Linked DNA regions of Arabidopsis thaliana. The protein of the gene in region 4 interacts with the protein of the main gene of each other region in a pairwise test. Each region holds a gene or a part of one and is shown on either strand. Other genes may lie near its edges.

Region 1 (8,187 bases), on a different chromosome or scaffold from region 4:
ATTTAGTAGTTAACTGATAACAATAATCAAGTGCTTTTAACAGTCTGTTGAGACATGTTAACTCTATATAAATAGATAAAATGTGCGAACACTTCTCATTGTGTCTTACACTATAAGAACAACTATTATTAAACAGCACCTTTTTGTTATATCTCCATAGACCCAAACAAAAGAATAAGATGGTCTCCATCGCTTCTACGTTTAAAGCTTTGTGTTTGTCTTTCTTGTTCATTGTTGTTGCAAGTCGTCCGACTATCAGACCAAAGGTTTTCAACGTCCGACGCTATGGTTCTAGACCAGACGGAAAAACTGATAATGCCAATGTATGTACACAATAACTTTTCTAATAAATGTTAATAGTTATTTATTTAGTTTTGTTGATTCCCAATTTATATTGGCTTCCAAATACATTGAAATAAGCTCAACTCAATATCAAAATACATTTAAATAATCTAATAATATATGTTGAAAAAACATTTTGATATGATAGTATATATAAATCTTCTTGACTTTCTACATAACAATATATGGATTGGTATTATATTAACCAATTAAATTTAACTAAATCTTTTATCAACTTCTATGGATTTTTTTGTTTAATAATTAACCTATCTTATTCTTAACATAAACAAAATTAGGCATTCACAAGTGTATGGAAACATGCATGCACAAGGATAAGTGGAAGTAGTAAAATCTACGTACCGAAAGGAACATTCTACCTCGGTGGTGTAGAGTTTGTGGGTCCATGCAAAAATCCTATTGAATTTGTCATCGATGGAACTTTATTGGCTCCTGCAAACCCTAGGGACATTAAGCAGGACACATGGATCAACTTCCGGTACATCAACAATCTCTCTATCTCCGGTTCCGGTACACTTGACGGCCAAGGAAAATACTCTTGGCCACTCAATGACTGCCACAAAAACACCAATTGTCCTAAACTAGCTATGGTACCATTTTTTCTTACGCTTTTCTTTTTATAATATATTTCTTCTTTGAGAAAATATGATTATATATTATTTACAATGAAACTGTATTATACAATGGTAACAAGTATATTTTGATCATTTATTTTTGAACCATATATATTTATTATACACAAATGAATTGAAGTATCTACTCTTTGTTTCTAGTGATATGATAAAATTTGAAATGTTTACAGACTATGGGATTTGCATTCGTGAACAACTCAAGAATCAAAGACATAACATCACTCAACAGCAAAATGGGACACTTTAACTTCTTCTCTGTCCATCGCTTCAACATTACCGGCGTCACTATAACAGCTCCCGGTGATAGCCCAAATACTGACGGTATCAAAATGGGTTCTTGTAGCAACATTCACATCTCAAACACAAACATCGGTACCGGAGATGATTGTATTGCCATTCTCTCTGGGACCACTAACCTTGATATCTCTAACGTCAAGTGTGGTCCTGGACATGGGATCAGTGTTGGAAGCTTAGGGAAGAACAAAGACGAGAAAGACGTAAAGCACTTAACGGTAAGAGACACAGTTTTCAACGGCACAAGCGATGGTATTCGGATCAAGACTTGGGAATCTTCGGCTTCAAAACTCGTAGTTTCTAACTTCATATACGAGAATATTCAGATGATTGACGTTGGAAAACCGATCAACATTGATCAGAAGTATTGCCCTCACCCACCTTGTGAACATGAAAAAAAGGTTAACATTATATGCATGAACAAGCTTGGTTATTTTTTTCTTCAATTACAATGAAATATAAAACAAAAGACAACTTGTGTTTCCTTGTTCAGGGTAAGTCTCACGTTCAGATCCAAGACATTAAGTTAAAAAACATATATGGAACGTCGAATAACATAGTGGCAGTGAATCTACAATGTAGCAAGAGCTTTCCGTGCAAGAATGTTGAACTAATTGATATTAACCTAAAGCATACTGGACTCGAGAAAGGTCATTCCACAGCGATGTGCGAGAATGTTGACGGTTCTGTACGTGGTAAGAATGGTTCCTCAACATTGTCTAGATTGACTCAATGGTCCATCGAAAAAATAACCTTTTGGGTTATACATGATATTTTTAGTTACATATTATTGCCTAATTTTTGTATATATTTTATGTTTTATGTTCTTGTTTATATGATATCATGATCACACATACAAATTCTTAATGAATAGTTCATTCTACAACAAAACAAATCTAAGAAAGAACGGTTAAATGTTTAACTTCCAATAATTTTACCATCATACTTAGTAACAATTACACTTTACTAGAATCAAACTAATAAGGAAAATCTCAATAAATATCTTTTAAGGTTTGTTCGGTTTATTGTAACTTTTATTAAATAATTTTAATTTAAATGTTTATATAATTCTAATAAACAATTGAAAAACTATTATCTTTTTCTTCTCATACTTACTTATAAAAATATGTTTAATTAAAAACTATTTATAAGTGTTTTTAATTTAAATGTGCTATTAGAAAATTTCCCTATATTTAAATTATTTATTGATGTCATAAGTTTTTGTGAATTAAAAATCAAAGCTCGAGCCTCCTCCATTACCCAAAATATTGGCAAATAGCATGACACAATAATGTATATCATGTGTTTAGGCAACGCAAAGTTCACAAAATGCCGTCGTACATCGCAAGGAGAATTTTACACCGGAAGGGCAACGACTTCCATCACCTACTTACTAAATCGCCAAGAAGGACCTTGACTGACAGATCAGAGAGACATCGAGATTGCCGAAAAAGATGAAGAAGAAGAATATAATTAAGAAACATTTTGATTGTTCACATAGAAACAATTTGAAATTTTTATTATCACCTTTGTATTTTCTTGTACTTTTCGTTTAGAGACCGCAATTTGTTTTTTATGATATTAAGAAAGTGAAAATTTTCATTAATTATTTAATCTAGTAAGTAATTATATATTCATTTTACTAGCATGTTGTGATTTATGAATAAAAAACATCAAGTAGAGTAATGGAGATATGCAATTTTAGGCATGCAAATGCGTGTAGCAATTTAATCGTTATATCTTATGAAAATTTTGAATAAATACAAGTTTACAAAATAATGTAAATACTAAAGTTTAGTATCCATCAAAATAAAAATAAAATCCACAAAGAAATCATTTCGAAAACATTTTGGTTTTATGCAATTTAAATTAAAACCCATTAAAAAAAGAAACAAATTATAGGTAATCTTATTGGCACATTTCCCAAAATTAAGATTCTGTTTTAATGAAGAGATTAAAAACTAAACAATATACACTCAAAAAATCATCATAACAGTATATTAACCAATCACGATCATTATAAAGAAGCCGCCCATATTTAGTAGTTAACTGATAACAATAATCAAGTGCTTTTAACAGTCTGTTGAGACATGTTAACTCTATATAAATAGATAAAATGTGCGAACACTTCTCATTGTGTCTTACACTATAAGAACAACTATTATTAAACAGCACCTTTTTGTTATATCTCCATATACCCAAACAAAAGAATAAGATGGTCTCCATCGCTTCTACGTTTAAAGCTTTGTGTTTGTCTTTCTTGTTCATTGCTGTTGCAAGTCGTCCGACTATCAGACCAAAGGTTTTCAACGTCCGACGCTATGGTTCTAGACCAGACGGAAAAACTGATAATGCCAATGTATGTACACAATAACTTTTCTAATCAATGTTAATAGTTATTTATTTAGTTTTGTTGATTCCCAATTTATATTGGCTTCCAAATACATTGAAATAAGCTCAACTCAATATCAAAATACATTTAAATAATCTAATAATATATGTTGAAAAAACATTTTGATATGATAGTATATATAAATCTTCTTGACTTTCTACATAACAATATATGGATTGGTATTATATTAACCAATTAAATTTAACTAAATCTTTTATCAACTTCTATGGATTTTTTTGTTTAATAATTAACCTATCTTATTCTTAACATATACAAAATTAGGCATTCACAAGTGTATGGAAACGTGCATGCACAAGGATAAGTGGAAGTAGTAAAATCTACGTACCGAAAGGAACATTCTATCTCGGTGGTGTAGAGTTTGTGGGTCCATGCAAAAATCCTATTGAATTTGTCATCGATGGAACTTTATTGGCTCCTGCAAACCCTAGGGACATTAAGCAGGACACATGGATCAACTTCCGGTACATCAACAATCTCTCTATCTCCGGTTCCGGTACACTTGACGGCCAAGGAAAATACTCTTGGCCACTCAATGACTGCCACAAAAACACTAATTGTCCTAAACTAGCTATGGTACCGTTTCTTCTTAAGCTTTTCTTTTTATAATATATTTCTTGTTTGAGAAAATATGATTATATATTGTTTACATTGAAACTGTATTATACAATGGTAACAAGTATATTTTGATCATTTATTTTTTAACCATATATATTTATTATATACAAATGAATTGAAGTATCTACTCTTTGTTTCTAGTGATATGATAAAATTTGAAATGTTTACAGACTATGGGATTTGCATTCGTGAACAACTCAAGAATCAAAGACATAACATCACTCAACAGCAAAATGGGACACTTTAACTTCTTCTCTGTCCATCGCTTCAACATTACCGGCGTCACTATAACAGCTCCCGGTGATAGCCCAAATACTGACGGTATCAAAATGGGTTCTTGTAGCAACATTCACATCTCAAACACAAACATCGGTACCGGAGATGATTGTATTGCCATTCTCTCTGGGACCACTAACCTTGATATCTCTAACATCAAGTGTGGTCCTGGACATGGGATCAGTGTTGGAAGCTTAGGGAAGAACAAAGACGAGAAAGACGTAAAGCACTTAACGGTAAGAGACACAGTTTTCAACGGCACAAGCGATGGTATTCGGATCAAGACTTGGGAATCTTCGGCTTCAAAAATCGTAGTTTCTAACTTCATATACGAGAATATTCAGATGATTGACGTTGGAAAACCGATCAACATTGATCAGAAGTATTGCCCTCACCCACCTTGTGAACATGAAAAAAAGGTTAACATTATATGCATGAACAAGCTTGGTTATTTTTTTCTTCAATCACAATGAAATATAAAACAAAAGACAACTTGTGTTTCCTTGTTCAGGGTGAGTCTCACGTTCAGATCCAAGACATTAAGTTAAAAAACATATATGGAACGTCGAATAACATAGTGGCAGTGAATCTACAATGTAGCAAGAGCTTTCCGTGCAAGAATGTTGAACTAATTGATATTAACCTAAAGCATACTGGACTCGAGAAAGGTCATTCCACAGCGATGTGCGAGAATGTTGACGGTTCTGTACGTAGTAAGATGGTTCCTCAACATTGTCTAGATTGACTCAATGGTCCATCGAAAAAATAACCTTTTGAGTTATACATGATATTTTTAGTTACATATTATTGCCTAATTTTTGTATATATTTTATGTTTTATGTTCTTGTTTATATGATATCATGATCACACATACAAATTCTTAATGAATAGTTCTTTCTACAACAAAACAAATCTACGACAGAACGGTTAAATTTTTAACTTCTGAATCCATTAGCTAACTAACAAACTAAATCAAGCTATCCCTAGACAATAGATTCAAAACCAGATCAATCCACTTTCATGACAATGATCCTCATAACTTTATCACTTCCTAATCTCAACTTTCATTGATGAAACATAATAAAGCAGGCTTTAAACACCAATCTATTAAAATCAATAAGCAGTCTAAACATCCAATGTCTTGGGCTAGAGTCTACAAATCTCTGAAATTAGTTGGTTCAGACATTTCATCAAACACTTATTAGGTGGAGAAAGTCTGAAATCAATTTTCAATTGATCAGAAAGAAAATAGCATTAAGAACTCCTAAAACAGAAGGGAATCATGCATATAAACACTTAGCTAGCTAAAGAACAGAGGAATCCACCTAAACCTAACCCATCCTCAAGAACTCTGAAGAAGACTACTCAAGATCAATGAAGAACATCATAGAACAAAATTCAGAAAAAATCATAAAACCCAGAAATCATTATAAACTTAGCAAATGATAGATCTCAATAAGATAAACAAGTTTGCAGAAGAAATGAAATTCAGATTCTCAACACAACAACCAGAAAATGCAAAAAAAATCTAAGAACCCTAATATCCAGCGAACAAATCAAAGATATTTTGGATAAAAATATAAGAGGTCTATTTATAGGCAATACTAGGATGCCCTAATTGGGAAAAAGACAAAATGGGAAAGTCGGCGTTGCACCACTCGGGTCTTGGTCGAGTAGAAAAGTCGAGTAGCCTCCTTTGGTCACATCACTCGGCTTTAGGCCGAGTACCTTCAATTGAGCAGCTTCCCTTCTTCCTCATGTGCACCACTCGAGCTCCTGCCGAGTAGATTGGCCGAGTATAGTTCTTCCTTCTCCCTTGTGTGCTCCACTCGATCTCCAGCCGATTAGATATCCCGAGTATACTCCATGTCCTTCCTTGGATTGCACAAACTCGAGCTAGTCCACTCCTTGTGATAGAAACGCCCAAATTGAATCCAAAAGTACCTGATTCACATGTAAAACACTCCAAATGCAAGTATGCTATGCAATGCAATGCAAAATGTGAAAAGGAAGGAAAATGAACTAAGAATGTATGAAAAGAGACATGAAACTAAGCTAAATGCATGAAAAACAAGGGCTGAAAATGGTTAAAACCTAGTGTTATTAACACCCCCAAACTTAGCTCTTTGCTTTTCCTCAAGCAACAAATAGAACTAGGCTAGGAGTGAGGTTCGAAGGTGGGGATTTAGAACCAAAATATGCATGTAAAATAAATGGTCTCAATGTCCATGTTGGTAGTTCTAGAGTGCTAGGTTGAATGATCTCTACTTAAAAACTTTAGCCATCTTCTTTACAACACGACCTAACCATTAACTTAGTCTATTCAAGCATTCAAATCAGCATACTCCCTTTAACATTCATTAAGCAAGAACCATGGATCATACTATACAATCCATATTAAACTCATTTGACTAAGGGTAAAGGGTCAAGAGACAAAAATGGTCCTTTAAAAGAATAAGCTTTAGTAACAAGGGATCTCTCAAGAATGATTAAGCTTTAGTAGAATGCTAAAGGTAAGTCCCAAATTATGCATACAAAGATAAGATCTCATCTACCCAAAGTATAATCAATGAAGATCTAATGGAAATCCCATCTCCCATCCCAATTAAGAACTTAACTCTACCCTTTGCATTCATGATCTTTTAAACTCTTTCTTAACCCATTCTTTTCTTTTTCTCTTAACTCTAGGAGAATCTTTTTTTTTTCTTCGATATTTCTAGCGGGTTTGGCTTTCTTCAGCACTAAGGTTCTGTTTTTAATCTCTTTTAAGCTTAAGGTTTTTACCCTTTTTCATTAGCTAACAATAACCCAATCTTTTTATTTAACAATCTCAAACCCTTTACTAGACTTTTTCTAACTTCTTTAGCTTACTTCTCCTAAAATCCTTTTCCCTTTTATTGTAAACAATGAAACCCAACCCTTTTTCTCATTTAAACTCTTCCCAACCCTTAGTATAAGTATCCACCTAGTCTTATCTAGTCCGGATAACGCGAACTAGAACTATATGAGATACTATCTTTGTCGTTACGAACCTAACACTTTCTACCAAGCTTAATCGAAATAAGACCTAACAAACACTCACAAGTGATATATGACTTGAAAGAAGGCTTAGGTTAGGGTGTGAGGAAACTGGTCTAAAGATGAGAGTCAGCTATTTGGAGTGGTGAAATGAATAAGAAGATCCAAATATTTTAAGGGTAACCATGGAAATGCAGGAAGAATTTGTACATAAAAAGTGGTATAGTATTTCTTGTATAAAGATCTTACATAAAAAGGGAAGAAGTAATCTTTTGTGTATTTATCAGAAAATAACAATGTTTAATATTACGATTTATGGTGAAAATGTAGAATCTCTAGCCCCCTTTTCTTGGAGTCTTCACCTCTCTTTTATGGTCTCTTTCCTTCTTCCAATGTGCCATTATTTGGCTATTAATTATAGAATTAATTCACAAAATAACTTCCACAATCAATTCATAAACTTGAATGACAAGTTTATTCCTTTGACCATAGTCATTAATCCATGAATTAAACTACAAATTAATGTCAAGATTTGACCACCTCCTTTGTGCAACATGGTTCTTCTTGGGCTTGAAAACT
Region 2 (8,383 bases), on a different chromosome or scaffold from region 4:
AAACCACCACCAAATTATAGCTAAATCAATTTCTTACCATATGTCAAAAATTTATAGAAATTCTAATGGTGGGAAAGCTCCCCGCTTATGCATTATGCATCATCATTTTGCTTGCTTATAATCTAAAATGATGCTTTCTCATTAATCAAACCCCAAGACGTCACAAAATACCCAAAACACATCAAAAATACAAGGAAAAGAAAAAGAGAACAAAATTGAAGCAAAACTTAAAACGGGATTTATTATGAGGCCTATCTCTACAATTCACGAAATGATCATACATCTTATTTTTTTGGTAGGTGAGAATAGACAATTGTCTCTCGCAATTTATTAAACTGCAACTAAAAAGAATATTACAACCGAACATGACCTGAGAACTCTGCCTCTAACATAATCGAGTGGACTACATTAGGAGAAGAGTCCAATGAATGAAATTAAACCTAACAGCACTGAAGAAAACACATTGTTATCAAAAAATTTACAACTATGTAGATTTTTTTTGTCAACTAGATTGTTATTCTGTTAGTTATAAACAGAATGATAACAATCTCCCTAATTTGTCTTAATTAAAAAAAAAAAAAAAATTAGCCATGTGTTGTTTTCTTAAACAGTCTGTTTCTTGGGATTAGGTTTTGTTTCTTTAAAAAGCACACCGGTCACTTGAGTGTCTAAAAACGTTATAAAAAACAACAAATGTGATAATCAGCAAAAACAGCTTGAAAGAGAAGTAGACACAATCATTAACATTATGGGTAATGGCCTAAACAATTGGACCACGTTTGTTGTAAAAGCTATCCTCTGCACTCTGCAGCTTTCTCAGTCCTCACTTCTCTCACCCACAAAGTCACAGTAACCAGAAACACGTTCCACATCCTATGAATCCAATCAAACCTCAGCCACTCGGAGTCCGCCACGTGGTGGCCATGCCTTGGCCAGGAAGAGGCCACATCAACCCAATGTTAAACCTCTGCAAAAGCCTCGTCCGGCGAGACCCAAACCTCACCGTCACATTCGTCGTCACCGAAGAATGGCTCGGGTTCATCGGGTCCGACCCGAAACCTAACCGGATCCATTTCGCCACTCTCCCCAACATCATTCCCTCCGAGCTCGTCCGAGCCAACGACTTCATCGCCTTCATCGACGCCGTCCTCACCAGATTAGAAGAGCCGTTCGAACAGCTACTTGACCGTCTAAACTCTCCTCCCACCGCAATCATCGCCGATACTTACATCATTTGGGCAGTACGTGTAGGCACAAAAAGGAATATTCCGGTGGCTTCTTTCTGGACTACGTCAGCCACGATTCTCTCCCTCTTCATTAACTCCGATCTTCTCGCAAGTCACGGCCATTTTCCGATCGAACCATCAGGTAGTTACAAAGTTCCCATTTTTACTGATCAAAACCGTAAAGTTCAATACTTTCATCCATAATTAGTGATTTCTGAATCCGGGTTTGTTTCCAGAATCAAAACTAGACGAGATTGTTGATTACATCCCCGGTTTATCTCCGACAAGACTCAGTGACTTACAGATCTTACACGGCTATAGTCATCAAGTCTTCAATATATTCAAAAAGTCTTTCGGTGAGCTTTATAAAGCTAAGTATCTTCTCTTCCCTTCTGCTTATGAGCTCGAACCAAAAGCCATTGACTTTTTCACTTCCAAGTTTGATTTCCCGGTTTACTCCACTGGTCCGTTAATACCCTTGGAAGAACTATCCGTTGGAAATGAGAATAGAGAACTTGATTACTTTAAGTGGCTTGATGAGCAACCTGAAAGCTCTGTTCTTTACATATCTCAAGGGAGTTTTCTTTCAGTCTCCGAAGCTCAGATGGAGGAGATTGTTGTAGGAGTTAGAGAGGCTGGAGTTAAGTTCTTTTGGGTGGCTCGTGGGGGTGAGTTAAAGCTTAAGGAGGCTCTTGAAGGTAGCTTGGGTGTTGTGGTGAGCTGGTGTGATCAGCTACGTGTTTTGTGTCATGCGGCTATAGGCGGGTTTTGGACGCATTGCGGGTATAACTCGACATTGGAAGGGATATGTTCGGGAGTACCGTTGCTTACATTTCCTGTTTTTTGGGATCAGTTTCTGAATGCTAAGATGATTGTTGAGGAGTGGAGAGTTGGAATGGGGATCGAGAGGAAGAAGCAGATGGAGTTGTTGATAGTGAGTGATGAGATCAAGGAATTGGTAAAAAGGTTTATGGATGGAGAGAGTGAAGAAGGGAAAGAGATGAGAAGAAGGACTTGTGATCTCAGTGAGATATGTCGTGGAGCGGTTGCGAAAGGTGGTTCTTCTGATGCTAACATCGATGCTTTCATTAAAGATATTACTAAGATCGTGTGAGTTCTATTGTTGTTAATGATTCAAGTCTATATTAGTATTTGTATAAGTTTGTTAAAGATTCAAACTTTGTAGAGATTTAAGATTGTTTGTAAAACTGTTATTTATAAGTTCATTTGTTAGACTCTTTGGTAGAGCTTAATCTCGTGTGTGCCTAATTTTTGTTTGACTTTGGAAATGAATTGTGAGGAGACAAATATAGAAAATAATTTATGAAATGAATTGATTTTGGTAAAGCTTACTGGCTGATTGGTTACACTATAGCTGTAGATTATTTGCTGTAGAATATTGGATGTAAGTGTAAGCTGTAGCTGTAGATTTGTAAAGATTTTATTCAGTTTGTTAGAGAAAATACTCCAATTCTGCATAAAATTCTAAAATCTGATCTTAATAGGAATGATTTTCACACATCTCATGTTTTATCTACCAATATTTTAACATATTTTGCAGTAAATTTAATATTTTACTTGATATCTAATGCTTTAGGACAATTTTTTTTTTACTTTATTTTTGATTTGAGTTCTTCGTTTTTAAGAATTATCGGTTTATAAATAACTAGATTCTGACCCGCACGTATACGTGCGGGGTTTCATATTTTTAAAAATGTATTGGAATATATTTTTAGTGAAAGATATTATAGTGTATAAATTATAATATGCATAAAAAGTGTAAAGTGTTATTTATGATAAAATAGCTATTTTTTGTAATTTATATTATTTATATTTTATTTGTATTTTGCATAGTAAATAGATTGTTAGATTTGTTTCGATTTGTAGAATAATATAGAGATATTTAGAAAATTTGTGTATTTTTGTTAGTTTGATGTATATATAAATTGATTGTTTTTGTTTGAAATTTGATCAATTAGATGATATAATGTAAAATTTTCTCCGTGGTACACCTTTGGTCGATTTTTTTGTAACTAAAAATTCAAATTTTAAGATATAGTTATTTTGTAAATATTGTTTATTTTGTTTAATGTTTAAGAATATATAATTATGTTATAATTATTAATTCTAAAATTTCACTCGTAGATTATCGTCCTTTATTAATATCAACTCAAACTCATCCCACCATATAATTTCATTCCGTAAAATGAAAAATTATTTTGTTATTTTAAATATTGTTATTGTAATATAATAAAAAAATCGAGGGATTGACATGTGGTACATCTTGGATTAATATATTTAAAAATAATTTGTATATTTAAAAATCGAGGGATTGGGTAATTATGAATATATTGATTTTAAAGTCGATTTTTTAAAAGAACAAAATCCAAGATATTTATTTTGTTGTAGTGATTGTTAATTTACTAAACTACCCATGCAAAAATTCATTTACTTAATTTTAAACTACCCTTACAATGTTGTAGTTCATACAATACTTCTCAATTAATAATATAGATAACACTTATTAGTTTTCAAGGGATAAATTTTTTTCCACTTGTGTACATTTAAATTCTACCAAAGTTTTAAAAATTTACGATGACAAAAAAATAATATTCGTATTCATAATATAAACATAATCTAATAAGTTTTTTTGGTTAGGTTCATATCGCTTAAATTAAAGTACGATTTAAAAAAAAAAAAAAAGTAAAAAAGTACGTTTTTGTTTTGGTAAAAAACACTAAAGAGGCAAAAACGTAAAAAGGCAAAAAATATATTTTTACTTGGGGAAAAAGATGTTAAAGCCCACAAGACAAGGCAGAGGTTTCTCCCATGCTTTGTCTTTAGTTTAACCGCCGCATCCTCTCTCTCTGGTCGGAGAAATCTCCAGATTTGGTCATTTCTCCAATCTTCTCGGAACCCTAATTTAACCAAACCTCTCCTCCTTCAGATTCATCTTCCTCCTAATCTCCCTAAAAGCTCAAACCTTTCTCTCAATCAATTCTAAACAATGGCAACAGAAGCAACAACCAAATTCCCAGAATCCGATCTCCGTCCAATCCCACAACCACCGGATTTTCATCCAGCAATCATCGTTCCAGCTCAAAACACAACTCTTAAATTCTGGCAACTAATGGTCGCCGGTTCAATCGCTGGCTCAGTCGAACACATGGCTATGTTTCCAGTAGATACAGTCAAAACCCATATGCAAGCTCTTCGTTCATGTCCGATTAAACCAATCGGAATCCGTCAAGCTTTCCGTTCAATTATCAAAACCGATGGACCTTCTGCTTTATATAGAGGTATTTGGGCTATGGGACTTGGTGCTGGACCAGCTCACGCTGTTTATTTCTCATTCTATGAAGTCTCTAAGAAGTTTTTATCCGGTGGAAACCCTAATAACTCTGCTGCACACGCTATTTCCGGTGTTTTCGCTACTATATCTAGTGATGCTGTGTTTACTCCAATGGATATGGTTAAGCAAAGGTTGCAAATTGGGAATGGAACTTATAAAGGAGTTTGGGATTGTATCAAGAGAGTAACGCGTGAGGAAGGGTTTGGTGCTTTTTACGCTTCGTATAGAACTACTGTGTTGATGAATGCTCCGTTTACCGCTGTGCATTTCACTACTTATGAGGCGGTTAAGAGAGGTTTGAGGGAGATGTTGCCTGAGCATGCTGTTGGAGCAGAGGATGAGGAAGGTTGGTTGATTTATGCTACTGCTGGAGCTGCGGCTGGTGGGTTAGCGGCTGCTGTAACTACTCCGCTTGATGTTGTTAAGACGCAGTTGCAATGTCAGGTGATTGAAATATCTCTAAAGCTACTGACTTTTAAGTATCTGATAGCTAATGTGGTTATAGATTGGCCAAGCTACTTTAAGTAGTTGTCTCTTGATCCTATAGATCACTTGAATGAAGAAAGATATCTTCTTTCTTCTCTTTGGATATTTTGTGATTTCACGAGTATGATTTTATAGGTAACATGTAGATTGCATCAAGCATTGTTAGAACTATGGTCATAAAACTTAATATTACTGAATTTACATGTGAAAGTCGCATAGATAATGTTTCTATATTTGTGGTTTAGAATACTTGGTCAATAGCTATTTCATAGGATTTGGGTTGTTTTGTTTGTTCTGAGAAGTTTGTTTGTGGTGATGTTTCAGGGTGTGTGTGGTTGTGACCGTTTCAAGAGCAGTTCAATAAGCGATGTGTTCCGTACAATAGTGAAGAAAGACGGTTATAGAGGACTTGCTAGAGGATGGCTACCAAGAATGCTCTTCCATGCTCCAGCAGCTGCGATTTGCTGGTCCACTTATGAAACAGTCAAATCTTTCTTTCAAGATCTCAATGGTGAAGCAAACGCAGCTTGAAAAGACACAAACATACATGCGTTTGGCATAATTTACTTGCCTGATTCAGGTCATTGATTCTTCATAGAGCTAGCTACTGGTTGGTTAGTATTAACACTAGCTCTTAGAGAAGATCTCTGTTTGTATAATTTATTTGTTTTCTTCACGCAATAATGTTATCAGATTAGAGTTACAACAACCCCAAGGCCTTTTTTCTGGTTTGCATTGATAGAGAAATTTTGTACTTTTATTTGTTTTAATGAGAAAGATACTATAAAGAGATAGATGAGCTTAAAGAGTGTCCATTCACAAGGTCAATGATAAAGATTCGATTCTTATTGTTTGAACTTTGAAATACCATTTATCAATTTCTGTGAAGAACAAGTTTCTTACAAGGACTTGTACAAAAAGAATAAAGAGAAGATCTTATCATGAACAGAGTGATTCATGAGCTAACAACTTTGGCAACGATCACAGTGACATCATCAAGCTTCCCTCCTGCAATTTTCAGAACCAGAGATCTCAACTAAGAAACTACTCTTGTTTAGTATAATATGTCAGGATAATGCATCAACATTGTTGTTTATTTACCTGTAAGCTTCTTTCCTAGTACCTTCTTCCAGAGAGGAACATCAAACCCCTGCACATATACGTTGATTCAGATATACTTTGCGTGAACTGGTAAAATTCATTCTTAGATCAAGTTAAAAATCTTACCTTGGCTCTTGCTTCTAATGCATATGGAGACTCAAACTCTGTATCTCTTGAATGGCTACTCGCCACTTCAGCTAATAACCTTGCTGTAATGGTTATACCAAAAAACATGTAACTTACTAAAAATCAAGAGAGATGGTATATACATATACATACATGACTCTGCAACATCTGTATGCTTGGTCACTATAGAAACGATCTCATGATCAAACACATTATCGAAAAGTCCGTCTGAACCCATCACGATCACGTCTCCCTTCTGTACTTCCACTATGCTAAACTGCTTGAAATGCAAAAAAAATGATACAAAGGTACAATACTAGCACAAATCATGAAGAGTGGTAAGGATTTATTTACCGATGCATCTAGATAAGTTTGAGCAGACCCCTCAGAGCTTAGTTGGTAAGGACAGTCAAAATAGTGCTCTTGTGGAGCAGTGGCAAAAATAATCTGACCTGAAAATGAGAATGAAAGAAGAAGATCTTTGTCAAAGGCTGAACATGAAAACAATCTAGCATCTTAGGTTACAGTGTAGTACCTTCCCGAAGAAGCTTAAGTCCACAGTCACCAACATTGCCTATTTTGAGAATACCCACTTCCTCAAGCATAGCTAGAATACTGCTTTCATCAATAACCGGGACATCAAGCTATCCAAAAAGGGAACAAAAACCAATCTTTGAAGAGAATAACAATCAAATCTCACTCACATTGTGGCAGAACCTCTAGAAGTAGTTGCGGTATGAGCTTTGTCAATGAGAAAACCAGGATCATATCTGACCTCTTGGTCATCAACTAAACGAGAAGCGTTAGCCATAAGTTCTTTAGAGAACAAGGAAGGATCAACATCTTGTTCAGCCCAACTGAGACAGAAAAAAATATAAACTTTATCAACATTAAGATAAACCCACAAAGAAACTCAAAAGTTAGCATAACCAAAAGCTAAAGCTTACCCGGAGACACCATCTGCAACAGCCATGACTCCACCTCTATAACTACTTACAAAGAAAGCATCTTCACCACCTTTCTCTACCTATATAATTTCGACACTAGATGTCGATTTTAATTGCATAAATATTCTCTAAGCAAATCCAAATTCATTACATCCAAAGAAGAAAAACAGAGACTTTGGTCTGGTGTTACCTTATCTGGATGAGGGATTGCGTGAATTCCGACAGATAAAGAGAGTTCAGGCCTAAAGGAAAATGCAAACATATTTTGACAAATGAGTTCTCAGTTTCGAACAACGTAAACTCGAAATAGTACAAGAGAGAGCAGAGACCGAAGTGGTTGGATTTCTGATGGAGCACAGCGACAGAGGAAGTCAACGCGACTAGGGTTTGGATGTGAGAGACGAAGCGATGGTATTGCGTGAGGAACCATCATTCTCGTCACTGGAATCGCCATTTCCTGCAATGGCTTGCTCTCTCGTTCTCTTTCAATCCTGTGGTGGTGCGTACTTTGTGTGTGAAGGTTGTTTAATTTTAGAGATAATTATTAACTAGAAGAGATAGAATCAATAAGCACCAGTGGTCTAGTGGTAGAATAGTACCCTGCCACGGTACAGACCCGGGTTCGATTCCCGGCTGGTGCACTAAGCTATGATGATATTGGCTTAAGCATTGGGTGGGTCCTTTGCATTTTTCTGAATTATCAGTTGAGATATGCCACACCTCTGAGCTCTTTTTTTTTTCCCTTATGTAAACTAAATTTTTCAAGTAACATTTTTTGTATTATCACTCAATTTCTCTTACTATATTCCATACTATTTCTGTTCTTGAAATAAAGCATCTCGGCCAAAAAAAGGTAAAACCAACGTTTCTAATTAATTTTCTTACATCCAAATCACTCGATCATTTATGTGACATACTCAAAGAAAGATAAGTTTTTTCGCATCCAAAAAATTGATATTGTCAATAATATTCAATAAATGATCCATGAATTTGGATGAAAATCTTCAACTCTTATAAAAACTCTTAACACTTCAAATAGGTCTCTTAAGGAAATTTACTCTAATTCTTTTAATTAACAATTGTTTCTATATTTTGTTTTATAGCTTTTTTATTATTTAATTATTGAAAGTCCTTGTTTTAATTGT
Region 3 (8,208 bases), 4.4 Mb from region 4:
GATTATTAATTAGAACTGAATTAGGATCTGGTTTCAATATTAATCCCTTAATACATACCTATAAAAAGGTTATTAATTTGAGAGATTGATATTGCAAAAGTTTTTAAGATGAACGAAGATGCTCTCGAAGCTGTACGATCTCGCACATTCTTCGCGATTCTGACTGTGTTTTATTCTATATTTCGTTGTTGTCTTGCTTATTGCAACAAAGGTGACGATGATCATCTGATTCATCCTAGTCATAGTTTACATGTCATAAAAGCCACTGGGATCAACCCTTCCGTTCTTTTATCAATTCCTGTCGTATCTTTCAACGCTAATGCCTTCAAAGACAATATCGAATGCGTCGTTTGTCTATCAAAGTTCATCGACGAAGACAAAGCCAGGGTTTTACCTAGTTGTAATCATTGCTTTCACTTTGATTTTACTGACACATGGCTTCATTCAGACTATACTTGCCCTAACTGCAGAAAGAACGTTGAAGAAATCCAAAATCACGAACTTTCTCTTAGTCCAAACCCTAATTCCGGTTAGGCATACAAGAAGATTTGAGGATGGTTGCATAGAGATGCAGTGGAACGAGATATAAAAATATGGTTTTTTCAAAACCTCTGTTTTAAACAGGTGTTGAGTATAAGGCCCATATCTAATTCTTTTTTTTTTTTGGATTCACTAGTCCTGACGTTCGGTTATCCAAACGACTATCGGTTCCATTCGTTTCGGTTATATAATTTAGTATTCATTCAACTAATTTAAAATTTTGGTTTGGTTTTGGTTCAGTTCTTTAAGTTTTATCATTTAGTATCCATTCAAATATTTTACTTTAGATATTTCAATTATTTTATGGATATTTTTCTTTTATTTTTGAATATTTTTATGATTTTATATATTCTCAAATATTTTTATTATTTAGTTTATAAATAACTTTTGTTTTGGATATATAATTGTATTTTATATCGGTTTGGTACCGATTCTAAAATATCTATTCTGTTTTTTTTCGAATCTTTGGTTTAATGTAATTTTTTTTTTTTTTTACTTTAGTTCCGGTTCGATACATCCGATTCGGTTAATTTACATACTTTTAAAATTTACTGTAGAACAGTAAAACGGCTCGGTTAATTTGCATAGGCCTAGAGTTTACTGTAGAACAGCTGACTCTTTCATGACAGTACAAAACGGTTAATCATATTATCACGTAAATATGTTTTTGTTTTTACCCAATGATTAAAAAGTCAGTTATATTTTAAAAACCCTAGAAGGTGAAATAATTAAATGTAAGTGGCTAAATGCGGTGGAATCAGAGCCGTCGATCTCAAAAAACAACACGGCTTAAGCACGTAAATGGGCCCCACGTTTCGGCCACTTCCCCAAGACCCATTGTTTCAGCCTTAAACCCATTAACTCACTTCTCTCTCTCTCTCTCCGCCTCCTTTTAAGACCAAATCTCTCTCTACCTCTATCTCTCTCTCCGCCATTACCAGAGCTCAACGAGCTCTCACTTTCTTTACGCACACTTGTTGGAACGAAATATATTCATAGAGAAGAAGAATCTCGAAACTCTTGAATCTAAAACAACTCGGAGACTCTGTTTTCCCTTTCCGGAGATCAGATCGGATCAAGATGCAGACAACCAACGGCTCAGATTCGACGTTGGCAACTTCCGGAGCCACACCGCCGAATCAACAAACCCCTCCTCCACCTCAGCAGTGGCAGCAGCAGCAACAGCAACAGCAACAGTGGATGGCTGCCATGCAATATCCACCAGCGGCGGCGATGATGATGATGCAGCAGCAACAGATGCTGATGTATCCTCATCAATATGTTCCGTATAATCAAGGTCCTTATCAGCAGCATCATCCTCAGCTTCACCAATACGGGTCTTATCAACAGCACCAGCACCAGCAACACAAGGCTATTGACCGTGGATCTGGAGATGATGTCAAGACTCTTTGGGTTGGTGATCTTCTTCATTGGATGGATGAGACTTATCTCCATTCTTGCTTTTCTCACACCGGCGAGGTATTATCTTGTTCATTGGTACTCTGTTTTGGATTTAGATTGTTACTTGTAAATATGGTTAAAAATTCATCCTTTTTGCAAATCATTGACATGTTCTTGTGTTTTGATTCATTGTTAAACCAAGTAGCTATTTTAAAAAACTAGTTAGTTGGATTAGATTAGATCCAATGGATATAGAAACAAATAGGGTAATGGAGAACAACTTTGACCTGAAAAGGACAGGACAAGTTCATATTTCGTTAGGCAAAAAGTACTCTTGTACCTTGCCACGTTTAGTTAAAACTTTTCTGGTATGAAAGAGAATGATTGCATAAGATTTTCACTTTTCATGAATAAACTTATATCCAGTTATACATGTGTTCTGTTTTGTTCTTTCTCTGAAGTTTCTTGTTTTTTTTTGTGATGAGCAGGTTTCTTCTGTGAAAGTTATACGTAACAAGCTCACTTCTCAATCAGAAGGGTATGGGTTTGTTGAGTTTCTTTCACGTGCTGCAGCTGAAGAAGTTCTTCAGAACTATAGTGGTTCAGTGATGCCAAACTCGGACCAACCCTTCCGTATAAACTGGGCATCTTTTAGTACTGGTGAAAAAAGAGCAGTGGAAAATGGTCCAGACCTATCTGTTTTTGTGGGAGACTTGTCTCCAGATGTCACTGACGTTTTATTGCATGAGACCTTTTCTGATAGATATCCTTCTGTCAAAAGCGCCAAAGTTGTGATTGATTCCAACACCGGCCGGTCCAAAGGTTATGGTTTTGTGAGGTTCGGTGATGAAAATGAGAGGTCAAGGGCTTTGACAGAAATGAATGGAGCTTACTGTTCGAACAGGCAAATGCGTGTAGGTATTGCAACTCCCAAAAGAGCGATTGCTAATCAGCAACAACATTCTTCACAAGGTTTCTTTTCATACTTCTCTCTGCAACTAGTTTTACCCTCTGATTCTTTCTATTTAAGTGTACTAGTTTTAAGCGAGAGGTGAGCCAGTTTTAATCCATAGGACTCTAGAGCTAACAACTTGTTGCATTCAACAAAGTTTTTGAACTATAAAGATTTTATGTTTTCATTGGAATAGCTGTGATTCTGGCTGGTGGACATGGATCAAATGGTTCCATGGGTTATGGCTCGCAGTCTGATGGCGAATCAACTAACGCAACAGTGAGTTGTCATATTTAGTTATATGTCAGCATCATTCAAGCTCTATATGTTCTTGCTGCTCATCTTAGGTTATTCTACTGCAGATATTTGTTGGCGGCATTGACCCTGATGTTATTGATGAAGACCTCAGACAACCTTTTTCCCAGTTTGGAGAGGTTGTTTCAGTGAAGATCCCAGTAGGGAAAGGATGTGGATTTGTCCAATTTGCTGACAGGTGCTGTCTTCATCTAGTTAGTAGTGTTGGCTTGGCAATCATATGATTGAGCAACCTGTAGGTGCTTATCTCATAGCGAGTAATTCAAAGCGACTTGCCTTTGGTTTTGACAGGAAGAGTGCTGAAGATGCTATCGAGAGTTTGAACGGGACAGTCATCGGCAAGAACACTGTCAGACTCTCCTGGGGACGAAGCCCAAACAAGCAGGTAAAATTTCACTTTGGAGTTGATGCATTCTATCAGTAGAAGAGTAAATTGAGTATTTTGCTAGGGTCAAACTTTGTGAATAGTTGTTTGTTTTGTTATTAAAAGTAAAGTCAGTGGTTGACAATAATAGCTGGTGGAATCTAGCACCTTCCCTTCGTTTTCTATTTTGACTTATGCAAGTGGGAGAATATCTAATACATGTCTCCATGTCCAACTTGTGTCACCAACCCTGAACATGGTCTTATGTCGACATGTTTTGGTCTAGGACTTAACCAAATTGGTTCTGCTGGCAATAGATTTCTTTTTAGTTCTCATAATGTGTTCAACTTGTGGCAGTGGAGAGGAGACTCAGGGCAGCAGTGGAATGGAGGATACTCACGAGGACATGGTTACAACAATGGAGGAGGATATGCTAACCACCACGACTCCAACAACTATCATGGGGAGAATTGAAGAGACTCATCAAGTGATCATCTTCATCATGGTTTCACATATCAAAGCTAAAACCTGTAGTCGAAAGAAGAATTTTGTTAGATGGATTTGATTTTGATAGACTTGTTGTTTGGAGGAGATTCAAAAATTTTGGTTACTGGTTTGTCTCAGACTAATATAAATGGTTGCAACTTGTTGGATCAAAATTCCGCTTACCTTCTACGAATTGCTTATAAGCCCAAAACTTTCTGAAATTAAACAAACAACCCCAAAACTTTAAAATTATATTTATTAACTCACATTAATTTTAAATTTTTAGCTATTAGCCCTTTCTCTCTCACTTCTTCAGTTTTTCTTCTACTCTCAACCTCTCCGGAGAGAAAAAAATCGGAGAGTGAAGATGGAAGAAGCTTTCATGGCGATGCTCTCACATCTTCTCCATCTCCAAAACTCATTAGATCCTACAAGCACTCTCTTCTCTTCCGCATCCACATCTTCACAGTCTTCAACCACACCTTCCTCCCTCCTCTCCACTTCCTCCGCCGCGCCTTTACTCTTCTTCACTCTCGCATCTCTCCTCTCCTTCCTCGCCGTCAACAGATCTTCAACCGAATCCTCATCTTCCTCAGAATCACCTTCCCCTTCCCCTCCTCCGCCTCTTGCCGACGGCGATTACTCCGTCGCTGCCTTCCGTGCCCTAACCACAGACCACATCTGGTCACTCGATGCGCCTCTCCGCGACGCTCGTTGGCGCTCATTGTACGGTCTTTCCTACCCAGTCTTCATCACCGTCGTCGACAAGCTCAAACCATTCATCACCGCTTCAAATCTCTCTCTCCCCGCCGATTACGCCGTCGCTATGGTCCTCTCTCGTCTCGCTCATGGCTGCTCAGCTAAAACCCTAGCTTCTCGCTACTCACTAGATCCATACCTCATCTCCAAGATCACAAACATGGTCACACGTCTCTTAGCCACCAAGCTATATCCAGAATTCATCAAAATCCCCGTCGGAAAACGGAGATTGATCGAAACGACTCAGGGATTCGAAGAACTCACCTCTCTCCCCAACATTTGCGGCGCCATTGATAGTACTCCGGTGAAGCTCAGACGCCGCACGAAACTAAACCCTAGAAACATTTACGGTTGCAAGTACGGATACGACGCCGTTTTGCTTCAGGTTGTTGCTGATCACAAGAAGATCTTTTGGGACGTTTGTGTGAAAGCTCCAGGTGGAGAAGACGACTCTTCTCATTTCAGAGATAGTCTTCTATATAAGAGGCTTACTTCAGGAGACATTGTTTGGGAGAAAGTTATCAATATTAGAGGTCACCATGTGAGACCATACATTGTTGGAGATTGGTGTTATCCTCTTCTCTCATTCCTGATGACTCCATTTTCACCAAATGGCTCTGGTACGCCACCGGAGAATCTATTCGATGGAATGTTGATGAAAGGAAGGTCAGTGGTGGTGGAAGCTATTGGATTGCTCAAGGCTAGATGGAAGATTCTTCAGAGTTTGAATGTTGGTGTGAACCATGCTCCTCAGACTATTGTGGCTTGTTGTGTGTTGCATAATCTTTGTCAGATTGCTAGAGAACCTGAACCGGAGATTTGGAAGGATCCAGATGAAGCTGGAACGCCTGCAAGAGTTTTGGAGAGTGAGAGGCAGTTTTACTATTACGGGGAGAGTTTGAGGCAAGCATTGGCAGAAGATTTACACCAGAGACTCTCCTCGAGGTAAAAGACATGAACAGATCTTGGTCAAAAAATGGAGCTTTCTATCTTTGTTATCATGTAAGAAGCAGATGCTTTCAAGTGTTTAGAACTTTAGATAGCATTGTAGATTCAATCCTCTTGAGAAGAAAGTTTGAGGATTCAGAAATGTTAAAAAGCTGACTTTGTTGCCTAGCCATCCCAACTGTCAGTTTTGTAACTTAGGAATGGGTTTATGGTTTGTTCTGTAACACCTTTTGAGAATGAAATGTATGACTTCTATTGATATGGATTATGGAATCTTGAGAAGCAAGTTTTTCCGAATTTGAAATATTAATAGCTCTCTGTTACTGTAAGTTTTGTGACTTAGGAATGGGTTTTTATGATTTGCTTTGTGGCACATTGTGAATGGAATCTGAATCTTTTTCCTGGAAAAAATGGAGACAGCCAAATGAAAAGAGAAAGGGATGTTCTTAATATCTGTCTTCCATGATTTGGAAGAACACGACTGTGGATTATCATCTTATTATACAACTCTCCAGGCCTGTCGGATTTTTCTGGATACTCTCTTTCTTTGTCGGAACTTAGCATTCTTTTTCTAACACTATAAACATAGGAATGGGTCCTGAAAAAAATTCCAATTCCCAACCCCAATCCACCCATTTGCTTCTTGCAGTTGTATGTTCTTCCTCTTTCGAATCCGTTATAACACCGAGTCACTTTCCTCATCGCGTTTTCGCTAAAGATTGTCGAGTCGAGACACCGTGCAGCAGTTTGACAAAACCCAAGAAACTCAGCTTCCCGTCAGTATGTCTTATCCAGTCATTTAGAATGGTATGAACCGGGATGGATGATCCAACACCAAGTTCCTACAAAACATTTATGTTCCCTTCGTTTAGGAATTAGCTGAATAAATTGTTAAGCATGACAGAAGCAAGTGTCGAATTTCTTATAAACTTACAGAAGCGAGTTCTTCGATGACGATAACTCGGTTTCCATTCATTTCAAATAGCTCATAAGCATGACGAATGCTCTGCTCCCAACAATCAAGAGACTCATGCTGATGAACGCTAATGGAAGCTGCACAAAACTCTTCAAAATCCATCCCTTTGTATTGAAGTCCATTTAACTGTCATTTCCCAACACCAAACTTTCGTTAACCAACCTTGGATTGTATCTTAAACAGATTAAGCAAAAGGACAAGAACAGAAAGGAGACAATACCAATGCAAGAAAGTCCGGGATCCGTGATTCCTTCATTGCTTCTGTTGCATTTGTCGCAAGTGCCTGTCCAACAGAAATAAATCTAGCTTTGAGCTGTTTGCTTTCTACCAGAGAGAGACAGAGAGGAAGAGAAGGCACATACCAGTCTGATGCTATCTAAAGTGATGAGGCCATTTTTGTTGGGTGCTAAGTGTGCAAACTGCGCTTTCAGATAAAGAAGTTCATCGGTAGTTAATGTCTTGGACAGAGCCTGGAGAGAATAAAAGAGTTAGCAAACTAGATACAAAGGTAATAAATATCAAACACATCCTTAAATGTTGTTTGGAAACAGTAAAAAAGGTTAGAAGCAAAATGTACCATCAAAGCAGCTTTGCGCAAAGACGAAGATCTCAAGTATGCTTTGATCTGCTTGAAGATCAGAATATCAAATGGGATATCTATTTTCTTATAACCCGCGATCCAAGGATGCACTGTAAAAACCGGAAAAAAACGTGGAGTAACTTCAACTGGTGATTCATGAAAAGCTAGAAACAGAAGATAAATATAGAAAGATGTGGATATTTTAGAGATTACTGACTCAAAGCTTGAGATGCAGTCATTCTTTTCCGAGGGTCCTTGTACAATAATCTCTTAACAAAATCTTTTGCCTCAAAGGATAACGAAGGCCAAGGAGGTTCATCAAAACTGGGATCAGCTTTTAGAACTGCTCTGAAAATTCCTGATTCAGTTCTTGCCCAAAAAGGACGGCTTCCACATAGGAGAATGTATGCTATGACTCCTATGCTCCATACATCCGCTTCTGTGGTATAAGATCTGTGTAGAACTTCAGGGGCTACGTAATATGCACTTCCCACTATATCATTTAGTCTTTCGTCTGGTCTGACAAAGTCCGATAAGCCAAAATCTATGACTTTCAACATAGAATTCTCCTCCTTGGAAGTGTACAAGAAGTTCTGAAACATGAAAGTGTTTCAAATGTGAGATTGGTATTCAACTAAGACAATATTTCTTTTGGGTTTTGAAAGGAAAAAGCAAAGACAAAAAGTGCGGTTCACCTCTGGTTTTAGATCTCGATGAACAACTCCTTGGAGATGACAGAAAGCTACGACGTTAAGGATCTGTATAAGCACTGCTTTTGCATCATCTTCAGAGTATTTTCCTCCCCTGTAAGAGAAGTAAATTTGAAATAGTTAGACAGCCAATAGAACATCTCTAAGAAGGATCTCTGACCATAAGTTAACAAATGT
Region 4 (8,192 bases):
GCCATTGGATGGTGACGTGGAGCCAAATTCATTTGCTGAAATGTACCCAATGAATTGCCATTCTAGATATCTACGACTGACGACTAGTGCTATACCAAATTCCCAGTCTCTGGCTTCAAGGTGGCATTTACCTCTAGGAGCTGTGGTTTGTCCACTTGCTGAGACTCCTGAAGGGGTTAGTTTCCGTTATTATTAACAAGAATGTCTTTGCGATTCTTTCATGTTCTAGTGCCACATATAACTTTGCCTTTCTTTGCAAATTGTCATTTTATCTGTTCAGGAGGAGGTACCACTTATTGATTTTGGCTCAACTGGCATCATCCGCTGCAGAAGATGCCGTACCTATGTGAATCCTTTTGTGACTTTTACAGATTCTGGAAGAAAGTGGCGGTGTAATATATGTTCGATGCTTAATGATGGTAATTTGTCAAAAATTTCTTTTTCCATAAATCATTTGATCGATGATGCTAGAACTTCAATACTTTCAGGCATATATTTATAAGATGACTATTCATAGTTATGGGTTTAAATTTCTTGTTCAGTGCCTGGTGAATACTTCTCACATTTGGATGCTACTGGCCGAAGAATGGATATGGATCAACGACCTGAGCTGACTAAAGGCAGTGTTGAAATCATAGCTCCAACTGAATACATGGTTCGGCCTCCGATGCCACCTATCTACTTCTTCCTCATTGATGTTTCGATTTCGGCTACTAAAAGTGGAATGCTTGAGGTAAGCATGATCGATTTGAATATCCCACTTTGTAATTTTGCTGGAAATGGGCTTTACTGTTCCATAATTAGTAAGTGCTAATTCTTGTGTGATTTTATCTGAATATACTACGTATTAATGGATCATCTAGACTGTTCTTGTTTCTTTGTCTAGCTTAGTGGCTCTCTCTCTTCATATGGAAGCTTTCGTATAATATAGATCTTACACTGACCTTTTGCTCCTTCGCAGGTTGTTGCTCAAACGATTAAGTCTTGTTTGGATAACCTGCCTGGTTATCCAAGAACTCAAATTGGATTTATTACTTATGACAGCACGTTACATTTTTACAACATGAAGGTAAGAGAATTGTAAACTCACAGGAACTTTTGTTTTGAAATTCTTTAGCCTCCATAATTTTTTTTTTGTGGACTTTGGCAATGCAGTCATCTTTGAGCCAGCCGCAGATGATGGTTGTATCAGATCTAGATGATATCTTTGTCCCATTGCCAGACGATCTGCTTGTAAATCTATCTGAATCTAGAACTGTGGTGGACGCCTTTTTGGACAGTCTACCTTTGATGTTTCAAGATAATTTCAATGTGGAATCAGCTTTTGGCCCAGCCCTCAGAGCGGCGTTTATGGTTATGGTTAGTTACCATCCTGACATATCAAGATAATATCATATAATTCATTTGATGTTGAGTGTCCTATTTAGATCCTCATCTGAAATGTGGATCAGTTTGTTGACTCTGTTTCTCTCCCTATTTCAGAACCAACTTGGGGGCAAGTTACTAATTTTCCAGAACTCATTACCTTCTCTTGGTGCTGGGAGGTTAAAGTTGCGGGGAGATGATCCTCGTGTCTATGGAACTGACAAAGAATATGCATTAAGGGTAGCTGAAGATCCCTTCTATAAACAAATGGCTGCTGATTGTACCAAGTTCCAGATAGGAATTAATGTTTATGCATTCAGTGATAAGTACACTGATATTGCCTCATTAGGTATGTGAACGTTGAGGTTATCAGTTGATGTTTTTTATTTCAGCTGTTTGGAGTCATGGGTGATAGTTAAGTTTATCAGCCTGTAATTACAATTCTTTGGTTTCTTGAAGGGACTCTGGCAAAATACACTGGAGGACAGGTGTACTATTATCCAGGTTTCCAATCATCTGTTCATGGAGATAAGTTAAGACACGAGCTTGCTAGAGACCTTACAAGGGAAACTGCGTGGGAGGCGGTTATGCGAATAAGATGTGGAAAAGGTTTAATAGTTTATGATAATATATTCGTTTTTGCTACCTGCTATGTCAATATTTGCTAATGCATTGGTGTGCTACTTGTGATCTTATATATTTTTGCATGCAGGAATTCGTTTCTCGTCCTACCATGGGAACTTCATGCTAAGGTCTACTGACCTGCTTGCTCTTCCTGCTGTTGACTGTGACAAAGCGTATGCAATGCAGCTATCTCTTGAGGAGACTTTGCTAACATCCCAGACTGTGTATTTCCAAGTGGCTTTGCTGTATCCTTGAATAGTTGATATTTTAAACATACTTGAGTTTAAACATACAACACATCATTTAGCTTTTAGTAATCCTTAACAGAACTAAGATATACCGCCTCTTGTGGAGAGAGACGTATAAGGGTACACACATCTGTTGCACCAGTGGTTACAGATCTTGGGGAGATGTATAGACAAGCAGACACTGGTTCCATTGTGTCTTTATATGCTAGATTAGGTAAGCTATATTCAAATTTTTTTCATATGCTACTTTTGATACTATTTAATGACAATTTAAATTCTGCAGCAATTGAGAAATCTTTGTCCGCAAAATTGGATGATGCACGGAATGCAATACAGCAAAAGATTGTTAAAGCCCTCAAAGAATATCGTAATCTTCACGCGGTGCAGCATCGCTTGGGGTCCAGATTAGTATACCCAGAGTCTCTGAAGTTCTTGCCATTGTACGGATTGGCAATTACTAAGTCCACTCCTCTTCTAGGTGGACCTGCTGATACTTCTCTTGATGAGCGCTGTGCTGCAGGCTTCACCATGATGGCTCTGCCTGTCAAAAAGCTATTGAAGCTTTTGTATCCCAATTTATTCCGTGTTGACGAATGGCTCTTAAAGGTTTGTGTATTTTTATCTCAATGTCCATTATCAAACATCAGTGTTCAAGAAATAGTAAATAATTTGTGAATTCACATGCTTGCAGCCATCAGCAGCCCACGATGACTTTAAAGACGTATTAAGGAGATTGCCGCTGGCTGCAGAGAGTTTGGATTCTAGAGGCCTTTACATATATGATGATGGTTTTCGATTAGTTTTGTGGTTTGGCCGGATGCTTTCACCTGACATTGCTAAAAATCTTCTTGGGGTTGACTTTGCAGCAGACCTCTCAAGGGTATGTATTTTTATCCACATATATCCTTACATATGAATATATGAACAGGCGGTACATTCGATGATGTATATGCATCATTAGTGTTTTTCAAGAATTTGAAACATGATAATATGTGTGAAACCCTTGTCTTTCTTCGTGTTGGGTCTCTTAGGTTACCTTTCAAGAGCAAGAGAATGGGATGTCAAAGAAGCTAATGAGGTTGGTAAAGAAACTGAGGGAGAGTGATCCTTCATATCACCCCATGTGTTTTCTAGTGAGACAAGGAGAACAACCCCGAGAAGGCTTCCTTCTCCTCAGAAATCTCATTGAGGACCAGATGGGCGGTTCGAGTGGTTATGTCGATTGGATTCTACAACTTCACCGCCAAGTTCAACAAAACTAAGATAGCTCACAATGGTAAGGAAAAAACCATCATAATACTTCCAATAACATGCTTAAAGTACCACATCATGTTCGACGCATCTTATGAAGCGGTTTTACTTTCAGACAACTCGGGTGCTAGGATGCCACCTCTTTGTAACCATTGAAGAACTCTTGAGCTCAAAAATCTTCTACTTAAGCAGGATCATGGCGGCCTTCTTCCTTGGGCCATAATGTGTTGTTTTGGATAAAGAAGTGCTACTTTTTGATTTTTCTTCATTTGTTTTTCTATATAGACCTTTTTTCTCAAGATTAGGCTTTTATTTGCCTAACCAGAATGGTTATCTCCGTAAGATTAGTCGTTTTTTAAATCTTTTGTTGCCTTTTTTTTTTGTCCTCATTCGATTTTTTGTTGATGTGCGTCTGTTCTAGATTTATTTTGGGAGTTGCAGTTCATGAATCTGTCCTAATTAGGGTTATTAACAAGAAGATGCTACTGTTAAAATTTTAAAATATTTTTATGAATAAATAATGTTGTGAAAACCTTAGATTTGGATGAAACGCATCGTTGGTATACATCGGTAAAGTTCATACATAAACAATACGGTGATTGATCGCTGTAAGACCAACTGTTCCTGCAATCACAAATAGATAAATTAGGATTTCAATTTTTAACTGCTGTAATTCTGATTCAAAGATTCTGGTCGGTTGAACCGGGACGGGGAAAATAGACGTGGCAATGTCTTATTGGATGGTACTTTCTAGAAGGTTACAGAATAAAAGCGGTCGTCGGTATAGGGGTCAAAGTAGCTTAAACGACGTCGTAGAGGAATCTTCGAATCTCCCAATAGCTTGCCTTTATAACAAACCTCTCTGAACCATTGCTATCCAAGAAATCTTTCAGATTTGCGCATATCGACAATTTTCCGAGCGGCCAGTTTACGTATTTTGTTTGTACGTGATCAAATCTCCCTCGCTTTCTCGCTATCAATTTTATCAATTATGTGTTCCCGATTGTTTCTAGATTTGGATTTTCTATTTGCGGATACTAGTTCTTTTTTGTTCGGAATCGATTATGGATTTGGTCTTAAGATTTGCGGAAATTCTTTTGTAGGTCTGATATAGTTTGTTCGGAATCATTCTTGTTGCTCAGGTCTTAGATCATTGCGATTGTAAATTTTGATTTTGATTTTTTTTTTCTTCAGGTAGTTAACGTGTTTCAAGGACTTTGACAATGGCTGAGGTATGATTCTCTTTTTTTCATTTCTGGTTCGTAGTTAATTGCGTTGCCTCGTTGTTAGTTTGATTGAAATTGGTGATATATGTGATATGGCAGGAAGCGCATAAGGTAACATTGAATGTCTATGATTTAAGCCAAGGCTTGGCACGCCAGCTCTCACAATCACTCCTGGGAAAGGTTATTGAAGGTGTATGGTGAGTCAAATCTCTGTCACATGTTCGTATTTGATCTGTTGTGTTGTATATGCCAAATTTGTTTTGAACATTTGTCCTGTGTAGTGCCATTCATAGGGTTTGATATTATTGTTTTAGCTGTTGAACATGGTTGCAGTTAACCCAATGTAAAAGATATTGGCATGACTGGTTGGTGTATGTAAATGTGTCTAAGCTTCTGCTTTTAATATCAACCGAGTGTGGTTTTCCTTGAGAAATATGAATTAACCTGCTTATTGTTTAGGTGTTTTGCTTTTTACTCTTTTAGGATATTACTTTGATGTTAAACCAGGTAGATAACATGTGAGTTATGTATCCTTTTTCCAGGCATACAGGAATAGTTGTCTATGGGAATGAGTACTTTTTTGGAGGAGGGATACAACATTTACCAGTTGGAAGAACTCCATATGGAACACCAATTCGAACGATAGAGTTGGGTCTATCACATGTGCCTAAAGATGTATTCGAGATGTACTTGGAAGAAATCAGTCCTCGTTACACTGCTGAATCCTACAATTTACTTACTCACAACTGCAACAACTTCAGCAACGAGGTCGCTCAGTTTTTGGTGGGTAAAGGGATTCCTGACTACATTCTCCAGCTTCCTAATGATGTTCTAAACAGTCCCATGGGTGGTCTTATAAGTAAGTCGCTGATAACTTGCGACACCTTCCTTGAACCTCTTCTTTCTCGGCTACATTATTGTTCTAATTTCATATCCCCATTTTGCAGTGCCTATGTTGCAAGGCCTCGAAACAACTCTAAAGGCTGGTGCTGTTCCTCAAGTTCCACAGTTTAGGCCACAGCCACAACCTTTTGGAGCTTTTAGTAAAGATGATGGCCCACAAATTGTGATAGCTCCTAAGCTCGAGGCAGCAGAAACCTCAACTGCAACTGAGAAAGTGCCACCTGTTATTCAACCATCAGCTAGTAAAGAGAAGGTCAAGGACGACCCGTTGGGTGATGCTAGGGCCAAGATTCAGGAAGAGATTACAAGCGAATTTGCAGCTCTAATGGCACAAGGCACATTACGAGCAAGTGAAGCAGCTGCTATGGCGACAAAAAGAGTCATGCAAAAGTACGGACATCTCAATGTAAACGCTTAGTGCAATAACAGAGAGATGAAACATTTTATTTTTACTGTCTTGAAACTAAGTCCAGAATCTTGAACGATTTCATTACACTATTGCCTTCAGCTGTATTTCGTGTATTATGTTCAACGATCTACAAATTAATTATCATAAAAGAGGAAAAGAGCAGTAAACAAGAGAAAAAAAAAAGATTTTACAAGAATTGTGGCTTTTGAATTTGGAACAATTTAGGCTTATACTACAGTCAGTGAAGAATCTACTCTTATGCTATCTGGCACAATCGGAGGAGGATCTGTGAACGAAGTCCCAGGTTCTAACTCAATAGCAGTCTCTTTGGATTTGCAAAACATCTCTGAGGGAATATTAATCCCTGCAAAGCCAACCATAACAGCTGCAGCACCAATGTAGTCGGTGAAGCTTGGTTTGTTCCCTGATAAGCTGTCTACAATGGCTGCCAATGGGACCTGAATAGTTAGCCCAGCTGTAGCTACAGTGGTTGTTGTCAATAGTACTGCCTTTGCCCACAGATAGTCACTAAGCACATTATCTAACAAACCTGCAGTTGTGATGAAACACACATTAGTCTTTCAAATCGGCATTCCTACATCAATCCTAATTTACTACTTGTGCCATCAATTCCCATTGATATGAGAAAATGTGATTTATTGACCAATAGCTTCAAGGAGACAATAGCGGAAATAAGGGATGGTGTTTGCATACCTTTGCCAACAACTAGGCCAAATTGTTTCAAGGTAAGTGCGTTGAAGCGTTCTCGCTTTGTGAAGTTGAGTATTAGAGCAGGAGGAAGGAAAATGAAGAAATTGAAGAGACCAAGAAACCCGAGGAACTGAGCCATACTGACCCGGCCGTTTCTTTCATCATCATCCGGAAGCTTTTTGCGTATAAGAGTGATGTAGACAGCATACAGCGCCGCTGAGACCAGCGAAAGAATATCTCCCAAAAGAGGGTTCTTAGCTACTGCATTTGACTTGGACTCTGAGTCACCCATACTTACAATTATAGTCCCAGACATACAAAGAAGAACGCTGAAGAGTTTCAACCATGTGAACTTCTCACCCAAGAATATTAGTGAAACAAGAAAGGTGAAAAGGCTTGATGCACTGCTTAATATGGTATTTGACTGCAAACACACAAAAATGAAAAAAAAACTTCAGCAAAACATTTAGTAGATTCAGAATAAGCAACAAGATGATGGGTGTCCAATATGTTCTTACCGTAACTGTTGTGTACTTGAGAGAGACATTAAATGTAAGCTGCGCCAAAAACCAAAACGGACAAATCACAAGGCTAACTTTAGCAACTCGCATCCTTGTCCAACGACCCTTCTCATCTAATCCTTTATTAGAAACTCCACTAGCTCCATCACTAACATTGACACTAGCATCAATCTCAAGCTCTATATTTTCCAATCCAGATTCAATCCCATTACCACCCTCACTAATCTCTTGCTCTCTCACAACAAGCCCTGAACTCTCAGTAGCATCTGATTTCACACCAGAAACATCTTTTCCAAGCAAAACAGCCTTCTCTGATTCGACCAGTTCCATTAAATGCGACCTTTTGCTTCTCCAGAACAATAAACTCCCATATGCATCTTCCAGATATCGACCAATCTCAAAAAGGGGAAGATAAACAACGAACAATGAATTACAAATGAAAGTGATCAAGAACGGAGAAACACCAGCTTCCACCACAGACTGGACTACAAAACTAGCCGCAATCCAAATCGTGGCAACGGCAAATAGGTATATCAGCCCTAACACCCATCTCCATAACTTTGTTGACATACCTCTTCGAATCTCAATTACAAAACACAGAACTTGAGCTCACCGATCTCACTGATTAAGATCAATCATACATTTTAACACGAATGCTTCAACACCCATGAATCAAAGATCTCTCTTGCAACGTAAAATTTCTCAAGGATAACAAAAAGCGTAAACGAGAAACGATCGGAACAAACCAATTGATCGGAAAAACAGGACACTACCTTCACAGCGACAGAAATCTAGATCGGCGTCAAATTGTTCAACCAATGGCGATTCAAAAGCGAAATCAGATATTTATTTACCAAAGAAAAAACAAAAAGGTATCGAATTCAGATAAACAGCGCCAATGAGAGAGCGAGAGAGAAGAGAGATTGGCGGATGT

The links.
Region 1: the proteins of AT3G07090 (region 4) and AT1G43080 interact in a protein complementation assay, tested with the Arabidopsis thaliana proteins (one large-scale study listed by BioGRID).
Region 2: the proteins of AT3G07090 (region 4) and AT2G30160 interact in a protein complementation assay, tested with the Arabidopsis thaliana proteins (one large-scale study listed by BioGRID).
Region 3: the proteins of AT3G07090 (region 4) and AT3G19120 interact in a two-hybrid assay, tested with the Arabidopsis thaliana proteins (one large-scale study listed by BioGRID).

What each region holds. Positions count from the first base shown.
Region 1 is NC_003070.9:16,211,143-16,219,329, reverse strand, and holds AT1G43080 (Pectin lyase-like superfamily protein), read left to right. Parts: upstream 1-3,501; coding exon 3,502-3,645; intron 3,646-3,960; coding exon 3,961-4,272; intron 4,273-4,484; coding exon 4,485-5,009; intron 5,010-5,101; coding exon 5,102-5,335; downstream 5,336-8,187. Other genes in the region: AT1G43090 (Pectin lyase-like superfamily protein), read left to right, coding at 180-323, 639-950, 1,163-1,687, 1,780-2,133.
Region 2 is NC_003071.7:12,873,783-12,882,165, forward strand, and holds AT2G30160 (Mitochondrial substrate carrier family protein), read left to right. Parts: upstream 1-4,016; 5' UTR 4,017-4,233; coding exon 4,234-5,022; intron 5,023-5,388; coding exon 5,389-5,595; 3' UTR 5,596-5,879; downstream 5,880-8,383. Other genes in the region: AT2G30150 (UDP-Glycosyltransferase superfamily protein), read left to right, coding at 876-1,368, 1,463-2,340; PBCP (Protein phosphatase 2C family protein), read right to left, coding at 6,020-6,072, 6,166-6,214, 6,292-6,374, 6,445-6,568, 6,646-6,743, 6,827-6,906, 6,996-7,148, 7,239-7,318 and 2 more.
Region 3 is NC_003074.8:6,607,236-6,615,443, reverse strand, and holds AT3G19120 (PIF / Ping-Pong family of plant transposase), read left to right. Parts: upstream 1-4,305; 5' UTR 4,306-4,425; coding exon 4,426-5,766; 3' UTR 5,767-6,094; downstream 6,095-8,208. Other genes in the region: DNF (RING/U-box superfamily protein), read left to right, coding at 109-534; RBP47B (RNA-binding protein 47B), read left to right, coding at 1,621-2,019, 2,430-2,913, 3,090-3,172, 3,256-3,386, 3,500-3,593, 3,930-4,046; AT3G19100 (Protein kinase superfamily protein), read right to left, coding at 6,464-6,607, 6,700-6,867, 6,962-7,024, 7,104-7,211, 7,319-7,431, 7,539-7,914, 8,017-8,125.
Region 4 is NC_003074.8:2,240,996-2,249,187, reverse strand, and holds AT3G07090 (PPPDE putative thiol peptidase family protein), read left to right. Parts: upstream 1-4,359; 5' UTR 4,360-4,431; exon of another isoform or gene 4,432-4,591; intron 4,592-4,682; 5' UTR 4,683-4,711; coding exon 4,712-4,720; intron 4,721-4,813; coding exon 4,814-4,911; intron 4,912-5,256; coding exon 5,257-5,573; intron 5,574-5,661; coding exon 5,662-6,035; 3' UTR 6,036-6,190; downstream 6,191-8,192. Other genes in the region: ERMO2 (Sec23/Sec24 protein transport family protein), read left to right, coding at 1-175, 281-419, 543-733, 962-1,069, 1,156-1,359, 1,483-1,714, 1,825-1,974, 2,078-2,234 and 4 more; AT3G07080 (EamA-like transporter family), read right to left, coding at 6,254-6,576, 6,741-7,161, 7,256-7,828.